Drosophila melanogaster: one gene and its partners. Changing the gene in region 1 together with any one later gene gives a genetic interaction. Each region holds a gene or a part of one and is shown in the gene's direction. Other genes may lie near its edges. The genes, in order: Pvr, bsk, Pvf1 and Egfr.

The links.
Region 2: of Pvr (region 1) and bsk, changing one enhances a phenotype caused by changing the other (phenotypic enhancement), as found in Drosophila melanogaster (2 studies listed by BioGRID).
Region 3: of Pvr (region 1) and Pvf1, changing one enhances a phenotype caused by changing the other (phenotypic enhancement), as found in Drosophila melanogaster (3 studies listed by BioGRID).
Region 4: of Pvr (region 1) and Egfr, changing one enhances a phenotype caused by changing the other (phenotypic enhancement), as found in Drosophila melanogaster (4 studies listed by BioGRID).

What each region holds. Positions count from the first base shown.
Region 1 is NT_033779.5:8,236,850-8,241,427, reverse strand, and holds the start of Pvr (PDGF- and VEGF-receptor related), read left to right. Parts: upstream 1-1,549; 5' UTR 1,550-1,736; exon of another isoform or gene 1,737-2,509; intron 2,510-4,578. Other genes in the region: Spn28F (serpin 28F), read left to right, coding at 1-573, 633-771, 827-963.
Region 2 is NT_033779.5:10,246,955-10,252,456, reverse strand, and holds bsk (basket), read left to right. Parts: upstream 1-1,955; 5' UTR 1,956-2,176; intron 2,177-2,714; exon of another isoform or gene 2,715-3,197; 5' UTR 3,198-3,246; coding exon 3,247-3,362; intron 3,363-3,542; coding exon 3,543-3,672; intron 3,673-3,734; coding exon 3,735-3,932; intron 3,933-3,995; coding exon 3,996-4,260; intron 4,261-4,321; coding exon 4,322-4,605; intron 4,606-4,683; coding exon 4,684-4,809; 3' UTR 4,810-4,955; downstream 4,956-5,502. Other genes in the region: Ror, read right to left, coding at 30-182, 393-490; CG31717 (uncharacterized protein), read right to left, coding at 956-1,561, 1,630-1,638. UniProt on the Drosophila melanogaster protein: Mitogen-activated protein kinase and key component of the c-Jun N-terminal kinase (JNK) pathway which phosphorylate and activate transcription factors involved in a wide range of biological processes including response to various stresses, cellular proliferation, differentiation and migration, and regulation of cell shape.
Region 3 is NC_004354.4:18,830,843-18,835,695, forward strand, and holds the start of Pvf1 (PDGF- and VEGF-related factor 1), read left to right. Parts: upstream 1-1,839; 5' UTR 1,840-2,104; intron 2,105-4,853. Other genes in the region: CG7101 (uncharacterized protein), read left to right, coding at 1-301, 381-958.
Region 4 is NT_033778.4:21,544,665-21,549,680, forward strand, and holds the start of Egfr (epidermal growth factor receptor), read left to right. Parts: upstream 1-1,978; 5' UTR 1,979-2,926; coding exon 2,927-3,227; intron 3,228-5,016. UniProt on the Drosophila melanogaster protein: Receptor tyrosine kinase, binding ligands of the EGF family and activating several signaling cascades to convert extracellular cues into appropriate cellular responses. Known ligands include spitz, gurken, vein and giant-lens.

The sequences.
Region 1 (4,578 bases):
AGTTTGGCTAATCGCATATACGTGAACAAAAAGTTCCAGCTAGTACCGAGTTACAATCAGATGGTCAAGGATTCATTTATGGCTGAAGCGGAGGCAATCGACATTGTCGATCCCAATAAGGCTTCTTCAATTGTCAATAATTGGGTAGATAATCAGACGCGTGGTAAAATCAAAGACTTAGTTTCATCCAATGACATGTCGAAAATGGAATTGATCGTCTTAAATGCCATATACTTTAAAGGCCAGTGGGAGTACAAATTTAATCCCAAGTTAACGAAGAAGAGGAATTTCCGTGTTTCGGATCAAAAGAGTGTTCCTGTCGAGATGATGTCACTATTTCAATCATTTAGGGCCGCACATGATAGTGAACTGGGTGCCAAAATTATCGAGCTGCCCTACAGAAATTCAAGCCTGTCCATGCTAATTTTTCTACCGGACCAGGTCGATGGACTATCAGAGCTGGAGAAAAAGATTGTAGGATTCAAACCGAAACTTTCCAAAATGGATGTAACTTTAAGGCTTCCCAAGTTTAAAATCGAATTCTTCGCTCAACTAAACAAAGTTCTTGTGGCGGTGAGTATTCACAGATTATTCTTGATACACCCTTACAATTTATAGATATTCATCTATAGATGGGCATACAAGATGCGTTCGAAAAATCTGCTGACTTCAAAGATCTGGTCGAAAACAGTAACGTTCATGTGAAAAAAGTCATTCATAAGGCGTTCATCGAGGTTAATGAAGAAGGAGCTGAGGCAGCGGCTGCAACAGGTATGATATAATTTTATTATATATATATTTGTATAATATGTTTTATTTTTGCCAGCTTTACTTTTCGTGCGCTATAGTATGCCTATGCCGTCATCTCAAATGGTTTTTAATGCCGATCATCCTTTTGCCTATGTCATTCGCGATAGGGAAACCATTTATTTCCAGGGCCACTTTGTGAAACCGAATGAATAAAATGTACTATTTCTTATCAATAATAAATGGAAATTGTATTATACTTTATTGTAGAATAAAAGGATTTACCAGTTTCCTGAAAATATTTAATAGGTGGAAAGTAGTGAAAATGCTATAGTCGAGACCCTTATAAATCACAATCCCCTTACTCAGCTGACAAATCGTTAGAAATGCTTAAATGATACTAAATATTATTTAATAAAAGAAAACTTTATTTTAAGCACTTCGATCTAAAACTAAAACCGTTAGGAAATTTAGTACGCATGGCATCACTGGCCGCCACTGGCCAACTGGAACTGTTTTCAAGCGGTCTGGCATCGCCGCGAATAGCGTGATTGCGTTCAATTTTTAGCTCGTTATTTAGTACACTTCACCTTTCAAAATAATAATGAAATAATAATAAAAGGAAACTAAACGAGAGATAAACTCCCTAACGAAACAAGAAAATTCAAATGATGTTGACTAAAGATATAACAAAAATATTATTCTATCCGTTCTATTCTACATGCTGTAGATAACGCTCATCGATAGCAAAAAATAACAATCGAATCGGATACCTCGATAGTACCGTCGATAGTGCCCCAGCTCTAGTTAACGTTAACTTTTCGAGCTGTTCGGACGTCAAAGCGGAAGGAAATTTCGCGGGCTTTTGACTTGTGTTCGGTGCAAACTGTTCAAACTTTGCCGACGACGCAGTATTTATTGTCTTTCAAGAGCAACCGATACTGCTGAAGTGCCCCACGCAGAAAGTGTTAAGCACAGAAAACCACAACGTAAGCGTTAATTTTTGAAAGGCTCGAAGATACGTCCGATAATATAGATATAGAATCGTGTGGAAACGAAACCAAATCGTGTCGTATATAAGTATAAGTGAAGCATCAAAGGTGCTAAGCAAATGAATCCGCACTCAAAAGTTTAGATATCGATGTGAGCGAACCCCCACACCTTCGCAAAAGTAAAAAACAAACACAGATACGAATCGGAATTCGAATACAAGTGCAAACTCAGCCACAGGTGGTTGACAAGAGTTCTAAGTGATTGTCAATCGTAAGCTCGAAAATCGAAATCGAATTCGGCGCTCGTGATGTTGCTCAATTCGATGCAATTATACAAAAAAAAAACACCCAAAATAGTCATGGTCACTATGCTCCTATAGATGGTGTACATAATGAACTATTATCAGTGACCTTTTTCTAAGTGCGTGTGTGTGTGTGTGTGCTATTATCACTGCCTGGTATTATTCATTGATAAGTGCATATAAGTGTTGGGTCTACGAAAAGTGTGCGTGTGTCTATGGTGAATACGTCAGCGGCATTCCAAGTAATCAAGACTGCAAACATCCACCGGTGCCAGGTATTCAAATCGTGATTCATCGCCGATCGTGACTGTTGTACGTTCAAAAGTTGTTGTTGTATCTTCAATAGTTGTTGTTGTTGCCAAGCTGCTGCGATCAAACGGTAGACTGCGTAAGACTATGAAAATATGAATAACACTACGATGGATTTCGAATTTACTCATACTGCTTTTCCAGAAACACCCAAATAAAGTTGGTATATATACATATATATGTACATATATATATAGAAGAAAGGGTTCACCTTTCTTTTGTTTGCCTGGTCAACTGAATGTGTCTATAGCGACTTTCTTAAACCGGTTCCACGCCATCCGTTTCTTGACCAAACGAACTGTTGATACATTTTCCCCCAATACGTGACTCAGGATCGAGAAGTTCTGATCAAATCAGATGCCCATAATTCATTGCCTCCAATTGCACACTGTGCCCAATTTGTTTATTGAATACAGACCTCCTTCAGTTTGCCGACTGCTCCATTTATCTCTGGCCACTTCAAAAGGCTGCCCAGCCCAGGCTGTTGTTAATTGCCATCGTTCTCAATGTCCGGAAAATGTGGTACAAAACTGCTACGAATCGTCAAAGTTTGGAGTCATAAAAATGTCCGCGAATGGTGTTGATGAAATATTTATTGTAATTCCCCTGGCCAAATTCGCAATTCACCTGGCATCAAGCGTTGAACAACTGTTGTGATAAGCCAGAATAATCAATGGATACTAGTGGTTCTTGGAAAATGTGCACCCATCACATTGCTACTGGCCACTTGCACCTCTTTTTCACACCTACCCATTATGCACATGGCACATTAATCAGGTGGGGCTTATGGCCAAGTATCCACCAGATACGCACACCTGCCCCGCCCCCCGCAGTGGGTGTCAAATTAGAGATACTTTACTGTAGTTGATTGTGCTGAAGTAGAGAGCTCCATTACGAATAAATTACTTTGTATGCACTGGAAAAAATGAACAAAGTAGTTCTTTCGCATTAATAGAAACTAATTATAAATACACACAAAATATTTAAGCAGAACTCGCCGAAAATAGACTTCAAAATAATCAAAGAATGTGTGTGACAACGAATTTGTGTGCATTTCAAGCGATTGTAATATCTCTAGAGATATTTAGAATGCTGATATGTATTATTGCACAAGAGATCTTTTTAATCTCAAGAGGATTGCTTATGCACAGAAGATTGACTTCCTGTTGTAGATAAAAACACTAGAATTGAGTTTAGGTACATTTTGTACATCTGTAGAGAGAAAAATCATTTTGCGTTTCTCTAAGGCAGTTCGGATAAGCTGAAACATTTTTGAGAAACCCCTTAACTCTTTGGGCGAATTGGCTCATAAATTTCCATTTAAGATAATATCTGTTTAATTGAATTTGCCGGTTACCAATAAGCCATAAATAAAACCGATTCGTTGGACAATCTCGGCCAGCATTGAACACGTTTTCACACCACTTTGTTGGTTGGCTGGCTGGTTGGTTGGTTGGTTTGGCATTCTATGAATGGACACCTTCGCCTCTTTACATCCGCCGTGGTCTGAGTCAGAACGTAAATAATAAATAACAAATAATAAATTGACAGCGGACAACAAATGTTTTGGCCAGGCCATTGTAACTGTCTGCATGGAGAGGTGGAAATAACTTGGCCATAAATCTGCAAAAAAAAAGGCTAAGCAGGCAATTGGCTTTCACCTGAGCCCTAGACTAAAGCCCATTCATAAGCGCTGGAAACTTTAGACTAAAGCCCATTCGTTGGGAAAATTTTATCTGCCCCATAAACTGCACGTAATCAAGTGCACTTCGGAGAATCAGGGAAATAAGAAAATATATGTATATATATATATAAAAGCAATCTTATTTCCGTCGGGAATAAAATGGCAGAAGGCAGCCAGCCAGTCAAAACAAAAAATGCATTGAGTAAACAAATCGCATAAAATTGAGCCATGTTTTGAGGTCACGGCGAGGCACTAAATGGGCTATATACATTGGCCATATTTATTTATTAATCGGGCGAAACCCAAAACAAACAAATTAAACACTTGTCGGCTATTAAGTGAACGCATATAACATTTCTATTTATTCGCCAGCAGCTGGCCAACCAACCAACTTGTTGTCGCCACGCGTTGTAGTTGTATAATATGTGGGCAGAATGCCAACGATTCAATTTCACCGGCAATGGTCTTTCTATTATTTTTATTAAGTTCCCAGTTTATGGAAAAGAAAAGAAACAACTTTTCCAAATCTCTCGAGTGACAACTG
Region 2 (5,502 bases), 2.0 Mb from region 1:
CGGAATGTTGAAATAGTTATCATACTCACTTGGATTCCTTGATTACTCCATAAGCTGCCTTTAATCGCTCCTCCAAATCGTTCATGGTGAGATTGGGGGATACGAAAACATGGGCATTGCTCAAGACATCGCGACAAATGGTGCCATTGTAAATATGGCAAATACCTGATGATTGCTGGAAACTGCAGGGCAAATAATATATTGCATTTTTAAGGATTAAAAGGATAAGGGCGTCTAAAGATTTCTGCATTCGAGTATACACTATGTTTAGTAATTTAAAAATATATAAAACATGTTAAGCTCATGATTTCATTAATTATTAATTCCACACAAAAGTATTTCGCTAATTATTGTTGCGGAAACTTGGGAAAACTTTCAGTGAAAATACCTACCCATATATTCTTGAGTCCACATTATGGCTCCCCACATCCTTTTTTGTAAATAAAAGCACGAGCGAAATGCAGACTATAAATGCCGAGTATTTGTTCATATTGCTTAATCTAGCTAACAATATGAAGCCTTTTGTTATTTCAATAGTCCAATTGACATGCCAACGATTCCGAAAATATTTTTGTATTTATCCTTTCGCGAAAACTTTATGTGGCATACAACATTTCATCCCCCGACGAAGTCGTTGGGGTTGTTGACTCCTTATCGATGAATCGATATATTTAGGAGTGCTATGACTCGGAACAAAGGAATTACACTATAATTTCTTATAATTAATAATCCAAATATCTTCAAAAGCTTTATTTATTTTATTAAAGATGGTTGTATAACGACTTTAGTCTCATTTAAAGTACACTTTCCCTTTTCACAGTGAAATAAGGGTAGAAAAATTATGCGAAATACACAATAATATGAATTTAACATTAACAATGTATTTGGTTAAAGCATTTATCATAATGATCTAGAGATTATCTATTGCTTTCGGTGTTCCAATCGTAACTTATCGTTACTCCATGCTGTCGACAGTTTCCTCGGTAACAAAGCCCACAATGCTAAATGCAGTTTCCTCGCTGATCCACAGAAGTCCCACGATTAGTGCCTCCAACACTCCGATGGCAGCACCGGCGCAGATATCCAAAATATAATGACGCTGGAGGATGAGCCGTGAGATGGCCACGCTTACAGCCCAAGCTGTGACCGGCATTAGGAATATGATGTGAAGCGGATACAGCTTGGCGAAGAACAGCAGCACAAAGAACGCCCGGGAGGCATGACCTGAGGGAAAGCTGAACTTATCGGGTCCAATGGTCAGCATATCCTTGCTGGCCACCGGTCGCCTGCGACGAACAAGCGCCTTCAGCACGGCCACGATCACTACGTCGAGTATCAGGCCGAAGAGCATATTGACTTGCATTTGATACAAGCTCTTCGAGCTGAGCAACCAGATGAAGGCGATCCATGAGACAAACCAGGCGATTCCATCGCATGATATCTCCAGAAATCTGCTGTGGATCCGCAGGGATTTGAAGAACGACAGATTGGAGACGGCTACTACAAAATGCTTCGACACCTGAACATCCTTCTCCAATAGGTATTTAAGTGCTGGTGATGACTGCAAGGACAAGATTTTAAAATTAGCACTTATCAGCTTATGTGATTCATCAGTGGCCAAAAACCAACCGTCCTCATATCGCTGTGTATTTCAACTCTTTTGTTTTTATTTATTGTTAGTGATGACAGTATTTCTCATTCGTCATTCGATGTATACTCGATAAGTCGAGCAAAGGAATATCTAATGACCGGAACGGTGAAATGAAACACTGCGCCAACTTAGTTTTTGGTCTTTATTAAATAAATTGCATTTGTATATGTTTATTTGTAAGTTATTAACACTTATTAGGTTTTAAACCCCTAATTAAACCTAATTTTAATCAAAAGTCGATTGGCTGACTTTAGCCGTTTCTGGTTTTGGTCCTACTGCAATCTGGTCACATCGATTTAAGTAACTTTGTTGTGATCGAATATTCCAATAGATTTTCGTATATTGTATTGTATCCATGTACAATTATTCTCATGCGAAAGTGCCGCAGATAGTTGATTCTTAAATTTCAATAACATTAACATAGTTTAAAATGCTCGCCACTTTGAGTGCCCAGTGTGTAGAATAAAATAGAAAAAAAATCGATTTTATATTTTCACAAGAAATTCTGTACTTCTTCGTTAAATGGTAAATAAATATTCTATTACGTTCCATTCACATCAAATATCGAATCACCGAAACACTCCTGCAAAACGTGCCATAATCGATTGAAAGCAATTATAGTTGTGCCGGTTATGAAAAAAATTATTGATATTTAACATAAAATGTCAACTGCCCAAAGAGTGTATGTACCTATGTATGCGCAAATGTCTAACGTTTACATATCGACACTACCCGAAGCGTAGACCGCTTTATTATCTGCAGCGCAAACGAGCGCTTTTTCGATGTACGAATACGGGGAATATCTTTTATCTGAGAGATAGTTTGAAAAGTTACTAAATTATCGACCCACATTTGTGTGGCTGTATGTGCATATGTATGTATGTGGCTTACATCTTACACATATGTATACCAGTAGAAGTTTACAGTTTTCATCCGCATACAAATCGTGTGTATGTACATATTTACACAGGCAACGGCATGCATACACATGAACGCTATGTACATCGCTGTGGTCCAACATTCCGTACTTTTATGTTTAAGCCGGACATATCGATTTTAAATCGGTTTTTTTTCCTGTGCGTGCCGCTAAACACTTTGCTCAAAGAACGAAACGCTCGGTTATTTCTGTTGGGTGTTTTTCCAACCATATTCGACATGTGTTCGGCAAACATTTAAATGCTTATCAATAGAAAAGGGGGTTCGGCATTCGAAGTCGGCTCAAATAAGTGACTGCGTTATGCAATTGTATCTTTTTGAAGGAACTCGATATTTTTTGCTCGTGGTTTGGCAACAAACTCGCCACACACTAGCCAGTAAATTTCACCCCTCGCGACAACAGAGACCCACTTAATGGCCATAACATTCTGCCGAAATAAGGCCAGGCAAAGTTAATGTTTTCCTACCCCCTAATTCCAGACGAAGTTGTCTGAAAACTGCCTCCACCCATTCAGAATGGAGCCATACATACGGACGTCTTTGCTCCTTATATAAAACAGAATCACACTGTAAAACCGTATTGATTTATCTTATTTACCCTCTTGAAAAGGCCGATATGCTCCTTGCTCTCAACTAGTAATAAATAAAATCAGTGAACAATGACGACAGCTCAGCACCAACACTACACCGTCGAGGTGGGGGACACCAACTTCACCATCCACAGTCGGTACATTAATCTACGGCCCATAGGATCAGGTGCCCAAGGAATAGTATGGTAAGTGGTTATCAATATGTTATTACATATAATACATTTAACAATTTTTTGGCTTAAACAATTAAGATATTTCGCATGAGTATGAAGTCATATTTGTAACGCTCCATTGTATATTAGATTAGATTAGATGGGATTAGCTGGAATATGAAAAAAAAAAATAACAAATTTAATGCATTTCAGCGCCGCTTACGATACTATCACCCAGCAAAATGTGGCGATTAAGAAACTATCTCGACCATTCCAAAATGTAACCCATGCCAAGCGAGCATATAGGGAATTCAAGCTAATGAAGCTTGTTAACCATAAAAACGTATGAAACTTGCACCTTTAACTTTAACAAATTTCTACTAAACATAGGTATTTAATCCGTAGATAATTGGCTTACTTAATGCTTTTACGCCGCAAAGGAACTTGGAAGAGTTTCAGGATGTCTACCTGGTCATGGAGCTGATGGACGCTAATCTCTGCCAGGTCATCCAAATGGACTTGGATCACGACAGAATGTCCTATTTGCTTTATCAAATGTTGTGCGGAATAAAACATTTACACTCAGCAGGAATTATTCACAGAGTACGTACAGTATGAATACATCTTTAAAATGAGTATGAAATATATGAAATACTTCATTTGCAGGACTTAAAGCCATCCAATATAGTTGTAAAGGCCGACTGCACTCTAAAAATTTTGGATTTCGGTCTGGCACGTACTGCAGGAACTACCTTTATGATGACTCCCTATGTGGTCACCCGATATTACAGGGCTCCAGAGGTCATTTTGGGCATGGGATACACAGAGAACGTGGACATATGGTCCGTCGGTTGCATTATGGGCGAAATGATACGGGGCGGTGTGCTGTTTCCTGGAACGGATCATATAGATCAGTGGAATAAAATTATTGGTATGTTGCTGCTTAAATAACTTGATTCTCGTTATGATTGTCAACTTTTACGTTTTTTCAGAGCAATTAGGTACACCATCACCCTCGTTTATGCAACGGTTACAGCCAACCGTCCGAAACTATGTGGAAAATCGTCCTAGATACACTGGATACTCATTTGATAGACTTTTCCCCGATGGCTTGTTTCCAAATGATAATAATCAGAATAGCCGCCGGAAGGCTTCTGACGCTAGAAATCTTCTTAGTAAAATGCTAGTCATTGATCCAGAGCAGCGGATATCTGTGGACGAGGCTTTGAAGCATGAATATATCAACGTGTGGTATGATGCTGAGGAAGTGGATGCTGTAAGTGATTCTGGCATAAACTGGATTTCTAGGAATGTTGAATGTTTTTAATCGCTTAATTGCATGCATCTCTTGCAGCCCGCTCCGGAGCCATATGATCACAGCGTGGACGAAAGGGAACACACTGTGGAGCAGTGGAAGGAGCTAATCTATGAGGAAGTCATGGACTACGAAGCACACAATACAAATAATAGAACGCGGTAGAGAACGACTTTTTCCTCCTTAGTCAGTCACAAGAAAACTAAAGCTTACCAACAATACGGCGTGTATTGTTAAATTATTACAACAAATAAAATATTCAAATTGTATTTAAAAATATAGTAACCATTAAAAAATAAAATCAATATGCGAAACTTTGTAATTTCTTACTCATCCTTGTTTTTTGAGCCCGCTTTCTTAAGTTAAATCGTTAAAATACCAGTTTAATCATTTCATTGTCCTGATTTCAGGAGCTAATTACATTTTAATCTTTGTATAAATTCATAAAATTTAAATGGAAAAGTTTAACCATATAAATTATTTCGGTATATAAAGTCGATACATACTTTTAAAATTTTGTTTCATACAAGAATATGGAAAGTAGATAATTTAGTTACCGATAAAAACATTTCTAAAATACAAAAAATTTAAAATGATGATTAAATAAAAAACTGTTATACTAAATTTAAACGAAACAAACGGTCATTCGATAACTCAATTAGTATCGAATAAGCCGGCGTGTAAATCGGGCTGGCAACTCTCACCGGTGTAGAGATCGGGATGGCAACTTCGTACTGTTATTCCTATGCTGCGATAACGATAACAGCAAAGTGTCATCGCGAATAAATGTGGGTTTGATAATAAAGAATTGCGTTGGTGAACAATAATAATACAAATGCTAAATGTATCGCGCGGATA
Region 3 (4,853 bases), on another chromosome or scaffold:
CTTTTCGTCTGCCCCCACTGCCTGACGCTTTTCGGCGAGGAGGCCCGGCTGGAGCGGCATCGGGAGCGAAAGCACAACGATGGCCAGTTCCTGTGCCTGCAGTGCGGCAAGAAGTACGCGTCAGCCACGTTTCTTTACCGTCATGTTGCCAGTTGGCACGGCCAGCAGTCGCTGTTCTACTGCGACATGTGCACGGACAACTGCAACGACGTTAAGACCTTTAGCGGGATGCTGGAGCTGCAGGAGCACGCCGAGGAGGTGCATCGCCTGCGTACCCTGAAGTCCACGGCCAGTGATGCAGGTAGGTATTCTGCTTACGAGTAGTTGTGATGTTAATGGCATACCCTGCTTAATAATACTATTCAATCCGATCCCTGCAGACAGCCAGGTTGATGAAATGGAGGATCTTGAGATGCTAGAGGAGAACATTGAGAACATACTGCCCAGCATCGACTGGGACGACGATCTCACCTTTGGCTGGCCCACCGACCTGGACAAGGAGTCGTGCATTGTGAACGCTAAGCCGAGCGTTTTCGTGTGTCCCTTCTGCGCCAACGGATTCCCCGGCAGTCTGAGCCTGGTGCGGCACCTGGAGCAGGTTCACGAACGCAGTGCCCTGGACTGCTGCTACTGTGGCAAGAGCCATGGCAGCCGAGAAGCCCTGCGGTCCCATCTGCAACGTGTTCACATCCTCTTGCGCGGTCATGTGTGCGGTATTTGCCAGGCGGACTTCGCCACTGCTGATCACCTAAAGAAGCACGTTAACAGTCTGCACCTGGACCACCGACCGCATCTGTGTCCCACGTGCGGAAAGAGATTCACCCAGCGGTGCCACCTCACCGATCACATAAAGACGGATCGCGGCCATGGACACGGCACTTACACCTGTGAATTCTGCGTGCGGCCCTTCTTCCGGGCCATCGATCTCGAACGGCATGTGTGTGAGGAACATCCGTAGGGCAGTCAACCTAGCCGGAATCGTAGATACCTGAGCGACATCTCACGTCCAGAACTACGATTAATATATACTTAAGCAATGGATAAATGTAACGTTTTAATAGCGTTAATATTTTGAATTTATATCCTAGTCATCGGAAATGTTTTTCCAAACGAACTTGAATTTAAAATCGTATTTTATTTTTTGCTGTAAAATTAATGCTTATGAGACGATTTACATTTACATCTTAGGAACTATAGACATAAGCGAATAGTTACTTTAATATAGCAAGCAGATGGCTGAAAGACAATGTACTTATATGAATAAAAAAATATCAATACATGAAGTCAGGTTAATAGAAACGGGCACAATTGAAATATTTTCTAAGGAAAGTTTGAAAGAATGAAAGATTGCCTAAAGAAAGTTTACAGATTATTGCTGCGTAGTGTTAACATAATGTAAAATGTCACACTAAAATGAATACTTTGAAAATAACGATGAAATAGTGCAGCTTTATGAGTAATATTTATCATCACCACAACACTGATTAATCAGATAATATACTCCATTTCCACCAATAGACAGATAATAGAATGTAACATATGTATTGTTCATGTTGCTCTATATATATTTAAATTTAAAATCTCAGCGAGCCTCCTGAGCGAGGGTGTGCGTAAGTCGAGATCGCGCTCTCCCAGCGTTAACTGTTAACAGTGAAACCCATCCGCTCCGCTCCAGGCCCCAAGATCGGGAGAGTAATGAGCGGAGCGGTTCGGTTCGGATTGGATGTGAGTGTTGCGGTACAGAGCGGAGAGCGCAATGCTGCGACAGCTGGGTACTGTTACTGTTACTGCAACAGTTACTGCTACTGCTATTGTTATTGGCGACTGTGGTGATAGGGGCGCAGTAACTTGGCCCACACCGACGAGTCGACAGTTTTGAACGGAACTTGCTGGTGCTTGGATCGCAGCTCCGCCGATCTCCGCGAGGCTAACACCACAAACTTAAACGCGCTCAAATATATATCACAAATTATTAAATACAAAACCCCCCATTTGTGCACACATATTTTTTGTTGTTTGTTTTTCGTTTCGTGCTAACCGATTTGTGCCATTGAACTTCGTGTAAAACATAATATTTAGAATTTTCAAGCCGTGTTTCCATAAAGTAAGTGGTGCTTCTCAAAATTTCAACATTTCAACACAAATCAGCAGCGTAAACAAACAAGCCAGCGACCCTCGACTACATCTAACATTTAAACTGAAACTGCTTTTTGTTATTGTTTATATGGTTTTCCACTTCTGCCCCACTAAAGCCGGGCCTTTTAAAAAGCTCTCCACAGCGCACAGCCTTTTGTTATATATATGTTTTTTTTCCCCAATAGCTTTCGAGCAAAACCAGAACACCATTTTATCATTAACAAATGCAAAAAAAAAAAAAACCAAACAAAACAAAAAAGTACAATTGCAATTAACGTTTTTTGATCTGGCTGTTGAGTTATTCCAGTGGCTGTGTGGAAAACCCAGTGAAAATGTTGCGCTTGAATTCCTAAAAACAAAGTCTAAGCCGGGCTTAATCGTTATTCAAATCAAACTACGTCAAATCGCGTGCGAATATAAGATTTGTGAATCACAAATGAAAGTGAACTTGGCTTAAATGTAGTCGCTGCCTTAAACTGCAATATATCAAGTTGTTTATGATCGAGTTATTGCGGATAAATCGTCAATAAAGTTCAATAAACTAATGCTGGCAATGTGTTCAAAGTTCCTGTTTTTTTTTTTTTTTTTTTAATTTATAACATTTTAGAACAAAAATGCCATTTTTAAGAAATAATTTATTTTGAAATGCACATTTGCGGGTTTTCATTAAAAGAAAACACGTTTAATGATAATGTTTGCTCACAAAAGTCACACATTATATATTATGTGATGAATATTAAAATATTATAGTAAACGTTTCTAATTATAACGTATATTGTATGAAACAACTGGAGAACTTTGATATCCTAGAAAGGAAACTATACCTTGAGCAAGTGACACCTTCACTAAACTTAAAAAAGAAAACAATTATTTTAGATATGCCCTAGTTTTTTAAAAACTTGTTCATATTTCCGCCTTCCAAAAGTTGAAATCGGTTAATCTTAGACTCGCATTCCAGACGTCGCCGTTGACCCGATCCCTTTGGGAGCCCTTTGGGAGCAAATCCATAATTTATCTTGTAGAGCTTGTAGAACCCACTGCCCATTGTCCATTGCCCATTGCCCTCCTGTTGGTCCAAGTTTTGTGTTTTCTTGTTTGTTGTTTGCTCTACTGCTCCCCCGTCTACATGGGCCCATGGATGCAGTGGAGTTATTATCATGTCTATATTGTAATTGATTTGCCTGAGCGAATGACCAGACGGGAAGACAAGCTATGGGCCTGTTCCCTGATCTGCCACGCCTCCGCCCGCGCCGCGCCCGCGGTCTTATCATTAACGCTTGAGTCTTCCTTTTGTATTGGAATTCTTGTGCGGGGAGCAATTGCCTGGCGGGAGGCACTCCCTTCGCGTAATTAAGGACCGCCCAAGTGGGGATCGCGATTCCGAGATGATTCCTTTTGGTTCCTCGCCTTCTCCTCCTTGAGATTACTTGATATGATTTGATATCTTCGGGTGACGCACCGGGAAGGAATGCCTCGAAAGTGTGAGAATAAATACAGCTGACACCTGCGCAAACTAAATACAGATCATATGGGTATCGTCTATCGACTATATGATACCTGAGGCATGGATATATGCATATGATAGCCTTATAAGTTTAATATTCCTAAAGAAAGCTTGTAAACAGTGGCTTGATTGCGTTTTTTGAAACTAAATGCTGATCAGATTTCGCCAAAGTTAGCATACCTTTTTTTAGTACAGGGTACTAAAAGCAATCAGTATGAGGAGTAACAAAAGCCTGTCGCTTTCGCAATAAGTACATATTCGCATTCATATATATAATTTAAAAACGTGCTTAATTTTGTAATCTGCCTTTCCCCCTTACCACTACTCCCATCTATCCGTCTCCCTGTGGTCGATCTGTAATATCTGCGCTGACGAAATGCCTCAGTAGCAACAACAACAAAAACAACAACAACTGATAACTGATAACTGACTAGACGCACAAGTTAACCGTTGAATCGGGTTAAAGAGACCTTCGATGTGACAGGTTGTGCAATCACCAGCGGCCCACCCGTCGAACGAACATCCTATAGAGGTTTTAAGAATCTGCATTATATTTTGAATCTTGTTTTCAGTTTGTAAGATCTATTGAAATTCTTTGCAGATAGATTAGTAAATTACTTGATATCTTTTTAATTCCAATTGAAAATTATTCCGAAACTGTTAAGCTAACAGCTGTTACTCCACACAAAGCTTGTGCAGCAGCCGCCAAAAAAAAAAATAAAAACAGAGCAACAACAACAAGACGGCACAGAGGAATGTCAAGATGAATCACACAGGTGTGCGTGACACCTGGCAACAGAGAAAGAGAGAGGGAGGGAGAGCGATGAAAAGAATAACAACGTTTGGTCTGTCATATCAATCGGTATTTGCTTAACTGTTAAAAAGAGCCAAGAAATGTAAGGAAAACAGAAAGGAAAACAATGATAGCTGAATTCCGTGTGCGTGTGTGTGTGTTGATTGCAGCCCACAAATAAACACTTGTGCACCCATTGCACCTAAAACGCAAGTGCAGAAACATACACACAAATTGAAACTCCCGAGGAGTACCGTTACAAGGCGAGCTTAAAGCTATTTTTAACACCATCCGATCTTGCTCTCCTTCCCCACCCCTTTCCACACCCCTCTTACCCATTCTGCTATCTCCTTTCCTGTGTTGTTTTTTGCACCACTTCTCACTTTGCTTTTCTTCGTCTTGCCCTCATACACTGCACGA
Region 4 (5,016 bases), on another chromosome or scaffold:
ATAGACAGATGGAGTGCTGCACTGGAGTGGGGGAGTTAAAAAACATTTCTCTTCGCATGGCATTTTGTACGCTTGATCAAATGTTTATGAGTGTGGGTCGGGGCATCTTGGAATCTCAGAATCTCGGCATCTTACACCTCTCGAGCGGCGTTTACCTGTGGTTCGTACTGGCGGAGTTGGTGGAGTGCCCTGAAGTGGTTTCAGAGTTCTGAGTTCTAAGATCGTTCTCAACTCGATGTTCGGCTGTCAGTTGCATGCTCTTCGATTTTGACAGATGATTCCGTACGGTTTGGGCAGTGTACCTTTTGATTGAGGTCTTCTGGCTTGGGACAGACGGCTATTAATATGTTTGATTATGGCTGCAGACCGGAGCATGGCGCTTTTACCCCATCGTGGAAATCTGTGGAAATGCTTTTCAATTTAAATGTATTTTCATGCTCTGAAACAAAGCGCCGAGCAAGACAATGCAACGCCTCTCGAGAGTCACAGCGTGGGATTCGAGATTCAAATGTGGACCGAGGAGTTAGTTGCGCTTTTCCAAGTGCACCTTTTGTATTTCTGTTATGGCAAAGTGAAAAAGGTCAAAACGCTTCGGATTTACCTGCCGAAACAGTGTCCTTTTGGCCCGATCCCGCAGAGCACATGGCGCAGGCGTAAAAACCCCGATTTCTTGTGGGCTGGGAACAGGTGAAGAAGAGGCCAACGAGATCTCGGTCTTGGATCTGCCCTAACAATGTTGACAACGCTCGTACAAAAATCTTTTTGCCAAAAGACAATCCATGGCCCACGCAGGCTCGGCTCACAGACACAGATGCAGATGCGGGCACAGTTACACACACAAACACACACAGATACAGATACAATTGCCGAGATCTTTTGTGCTTATATGGCAGCATTGCCCACACATACCCATGTATATACAGCCAGGTGAGAGAGCGGCGATCGCTTTACCTGAACGCTCTCAAATTCGCCGCAACAACAGAACCTCCAACAACAACAACAACAACAGCAGCAGTGTCAAGAAATTGGGATATACACAAGATCTTACCTGGGAACGACCTGCAATCGATGCGAATCTTAAATGCCCTGCACAGCTGTCGGAGTTAAGATGCTGTCGGATAATCCCCGCATTGGTTTTTTTGCTCTTGTCTTTGCTATTGGGCATTTTGGGGGGAGGGGAAAATCAGGACATTGTTGCTCAAGTACTTTCCTTTGTTGGAAAACTCGTCTCTGCAGTTGAAAAGGCTATTTATGGCGCCTTCTTAATCCTACCTAAACTTTGCTATCTTAAAACTGAGGTTGTTGCGTATAAATGCTTCTTAACTTTTTTAACATAAATCCCGTGTGTATATTATTTATACACGCCCTGTATATCGAGCAACATATTTTGTGCAAAAAGATTGTCCTTCTTTGGTATCCACTCTTCAAGCTTGGGATACTTAACCGCTCTGAGCCATGTACTCTATGTTAAGATTGTTAGTTGAAGTTATGTTCTGCGAACTTAAGATCTCTAGTTGGTGTTTCCGTTCATTTGAGATGGCGCTAAATTCGATTCTGTGCATTAGGGCCAACGTTTAGCATTTTCCCATGATATGTAGAGCATTTGCTGGTCTGGGGGAAGATTGCCCAATGTATCTGGCCGTATCGTTTCGTATTACGCTGACTTTTTAAAATGCTGCTGCTACGTTTACGATTACCTGTGGATTGTGGATGGAGATGGTCCGCTGGCGGTGCGAGTGGGAACGCTGCACTGAGCGAGCGAGAGGTGGCGACAGCGGTGCGCAGCTGTGCCGTAGTTGTTGCTGTATCGCTGGCTTTGCTTTTATTTTGACCTGATCTGAGCTCGAGATTTCGCCGTTCACCTTTATTTTTACCTGTGCGCGCTCTTTTCGCCGCAATCGAGAGTAAGAAACACGGCGAGAGAGTGAGAGAGAGAGACAGAGAGGGAGCAGCGCCTTTTGGCTGCGGCTTTGGCCTCAGTCTCGAATACAACTTGTTGCTGCGCGGACGCGAATCGCTCAGTACGGACGTCTTGAGCTCGAATCCTCGGCCATATCTGTGCTCTCGATCGCAGCGTTTGCTAATTCGAAGATCGTGCTAATCGAAGTACCGAGAAATCACAGTTCGCAAAACGACCAAAACCAAAGCCAAAAACGGGGTGTAAGCCAAGTGCCTTTGGCCTATACTATACTACTAAGCGTATTTTTGTGAATACCCTGCTAATTGGCAGCCGCGGCTGTGGCGGTTGTGGCTCAGTTCGAATGATGGCCAAGTGTGTGTGTTTTGTGCAAGTTAACCGCTGCGGGGGCAACACAACAATTGCTTAGGGCAATCAATTAAAGCTGAAAGCTAAGAGCTGCGCCTGCGCACGCCTCTCTAACCTCAAAAATCGTTGGCGAACTCAAAAAAGAAGCTGAAAAATACATCTGAAAAATAACAAAAATTTTATTTTTTACATACACTCATATATATATATATATATATATGAAAGCCTTCGGACGACTCTTGTGGCTCGTAATGTGAAACTGGTTCCTACACTCACGCACACACTCACTCACTGGCGCGTTCAAAAGACCCACTCGAAAACACACACTCACTCTCACGCGCATACACAGTGAAATGTAAACACCAATACAGTGGCAAATTGCAACGACAACAGCTTAAATTCAAAACAACAACAACAACAACAGCAACCGCAGCAAACGCAGTGAAAGAGTCGAAATCAAATTTATGAAAAGCTGTATTTTTGGCACGCAAAGCTGAGTGAGCAAAAAGCCGAAAGTAAACCGCAAGTTCAAGAAAAAGAAACGAATAAAAAATAACCCCTATGACGTCAGGGGTTATAGCTTGGAAGAGGGCTTGATTCATCCCACCAGTAACGCCCACAAAAAGCACCAACCACCAAACCACCCACCGCCCCGCAACAATGCTGCTGCGACGGCGCAACGGCCCCTGCCCCTTCCCCCTGCTGCTCCTGCTCCTGGCCCACTGCATTTGCATTTGGCCCGCGTCGGCGGCCCGCGATCGCTACGCCCGCCAGAACAATCGCCAGCGCCATCAGGATATAGATCGCGATCGGGATCGAGATCGATTCCTATACCGCAGCAGTTCGGCCCAAAATCGACAGAGGGGCGGGGCCAACTTCGCCCTGGGACTGGGAGCCAACGGAGTCACCATTCCCACCAGTCTGGAGGATAAGAACAAGAACGAGTTCGTCAAGGGGAAAAGTAAGTGCACCGCAAGGATCTATCCATCTTCCTCAAGCCGCCCATCATCTATCAAAATGTGTTTATGTAGATCATCTGGCTGACTGACTGGCTGCCCATATATCAAAAGAGCCAAGTCGTCCCGAATTTGGCCACCGTATCAGTTGGTCTCTAGAGTTTCCACCGTTTTCAGGTGTTTTTTTTTTTATTGTAGTTTCGTGCCAGCGATATGCTGTCGTTTATCTTATCGCTGTGATGTTTTTTTTTTATTTTTCCCCTGTACTGCACTTTAAATATAGCTTCGTTTTCGGCTGCATTTCGTATTATTTGGTCTTATCGTTACCCTGGGAATATCAATTATCGAGGGGTAGCTGCAAAGTGTGCAATATTACAAATATTTTACTAAGCTCATAGATTAAAAAACACTTGCAATAGTGTGTGAATTCGTAGTATTTTAAGTAATATAAGCTTACTTAACATTTATGTGTCTGGAATATGGACTTTGAATGATATTTCCCAATATCACGTATACGCCAGGGTATCCCCTAGTCCAGAGTGAATGCTCCCTCCATTTAATACCTGCCCTTCGCGACGGTCTCACCTGCCCTGTGGCTCACCTCTTGACTTGGCGCTGGCTTAGTCAAAGAGTCTTGTGTGCACTATCGCCCCTGTTTCGAGTTACCCCCACACCTAGCCATCAGATATCACGGCAAACATACCAGAATACCAGAACGCACTGATTAGCCAAGCACTGAGCACTGTGCTGTGCATTTCGTAATGTCAAATGTACAAGGTAAAGCGTAGTAGTTAGTTAGTGTTAAGACCGCCCGATTTTTCCACTCTGCCACTTTTCCCGCCGTCTGCGTGCCCTTTTCTGTGCATCAGCAGCAATTGCAATTGCAACAGCAAAAGCAACAGTAAGAGCAATAGGGCAACTGCAACTAGCGACACAATTTCCAGCTAAAATGGCGACTCAATTTGTTGACTCTGCAGTTCTCGAGGTTTTCTTTGTGGGCTCTTTGTTTCTTACCCGTTGGAAAATAAATTAATACACAAAATTTGGTATTCGCATATTGGAAGTTTTGGCTGCTTGGCTGGCTGGCTGTATGTTTGGGTAACCATTTGGCCACAATTTAATGAACTCCATGGCGTATCTGGCGGTGTCTGTTTGCACAGTACTTTGAGGCAAATGTTTGTATTCGGCGGGCAAACAGAAAAGTAAAAATTAAATGGGAGGCGAATAAAAGCGGGCCGTCGATACCAAGTACTCAGTGATCTTGTAGCTGCAAATTAATAACTGAATGTGCGCATTGTGCGCCAGCAACTGTGCAAATATTGATAGGAAAACGAAAACTTTGGCTACGCAGTCTATGCTAATGGGAGACGGGAGACCACCACCGCATAGCCGGATATGTGGATGTGGTATGTATGTATGTATGTATGGCTAGATAAGCGAGTTATGAAACCGATAAAGATGCCAGAACCTTAAAAAGCGATATTACCCTTTTTTTTCGCACAGACGATCGCTGCTGTCACAATGCCCTTTTCGCAGAAATTGTTCGAGTTATTTGCTCTGGCTTACTGTTTCGCTGTTTTCTTTATGACCATAAAAATAAGCACAGCTGCGGCATGTATGCAAATAAATGCTAGAGAAAAGCCTGCACGTGCATTCGAATCGAAACCGTTAAAAAAATCGTTGGGGGTAGGAAACTCGAACAACTGGCAATTGTTGTTGACGTCTTTATAGTTCAAAACGCTACACTCGCTGGCAAAAAATCACCTTTTAATTGTTCATTCAGGCAAAATTGTA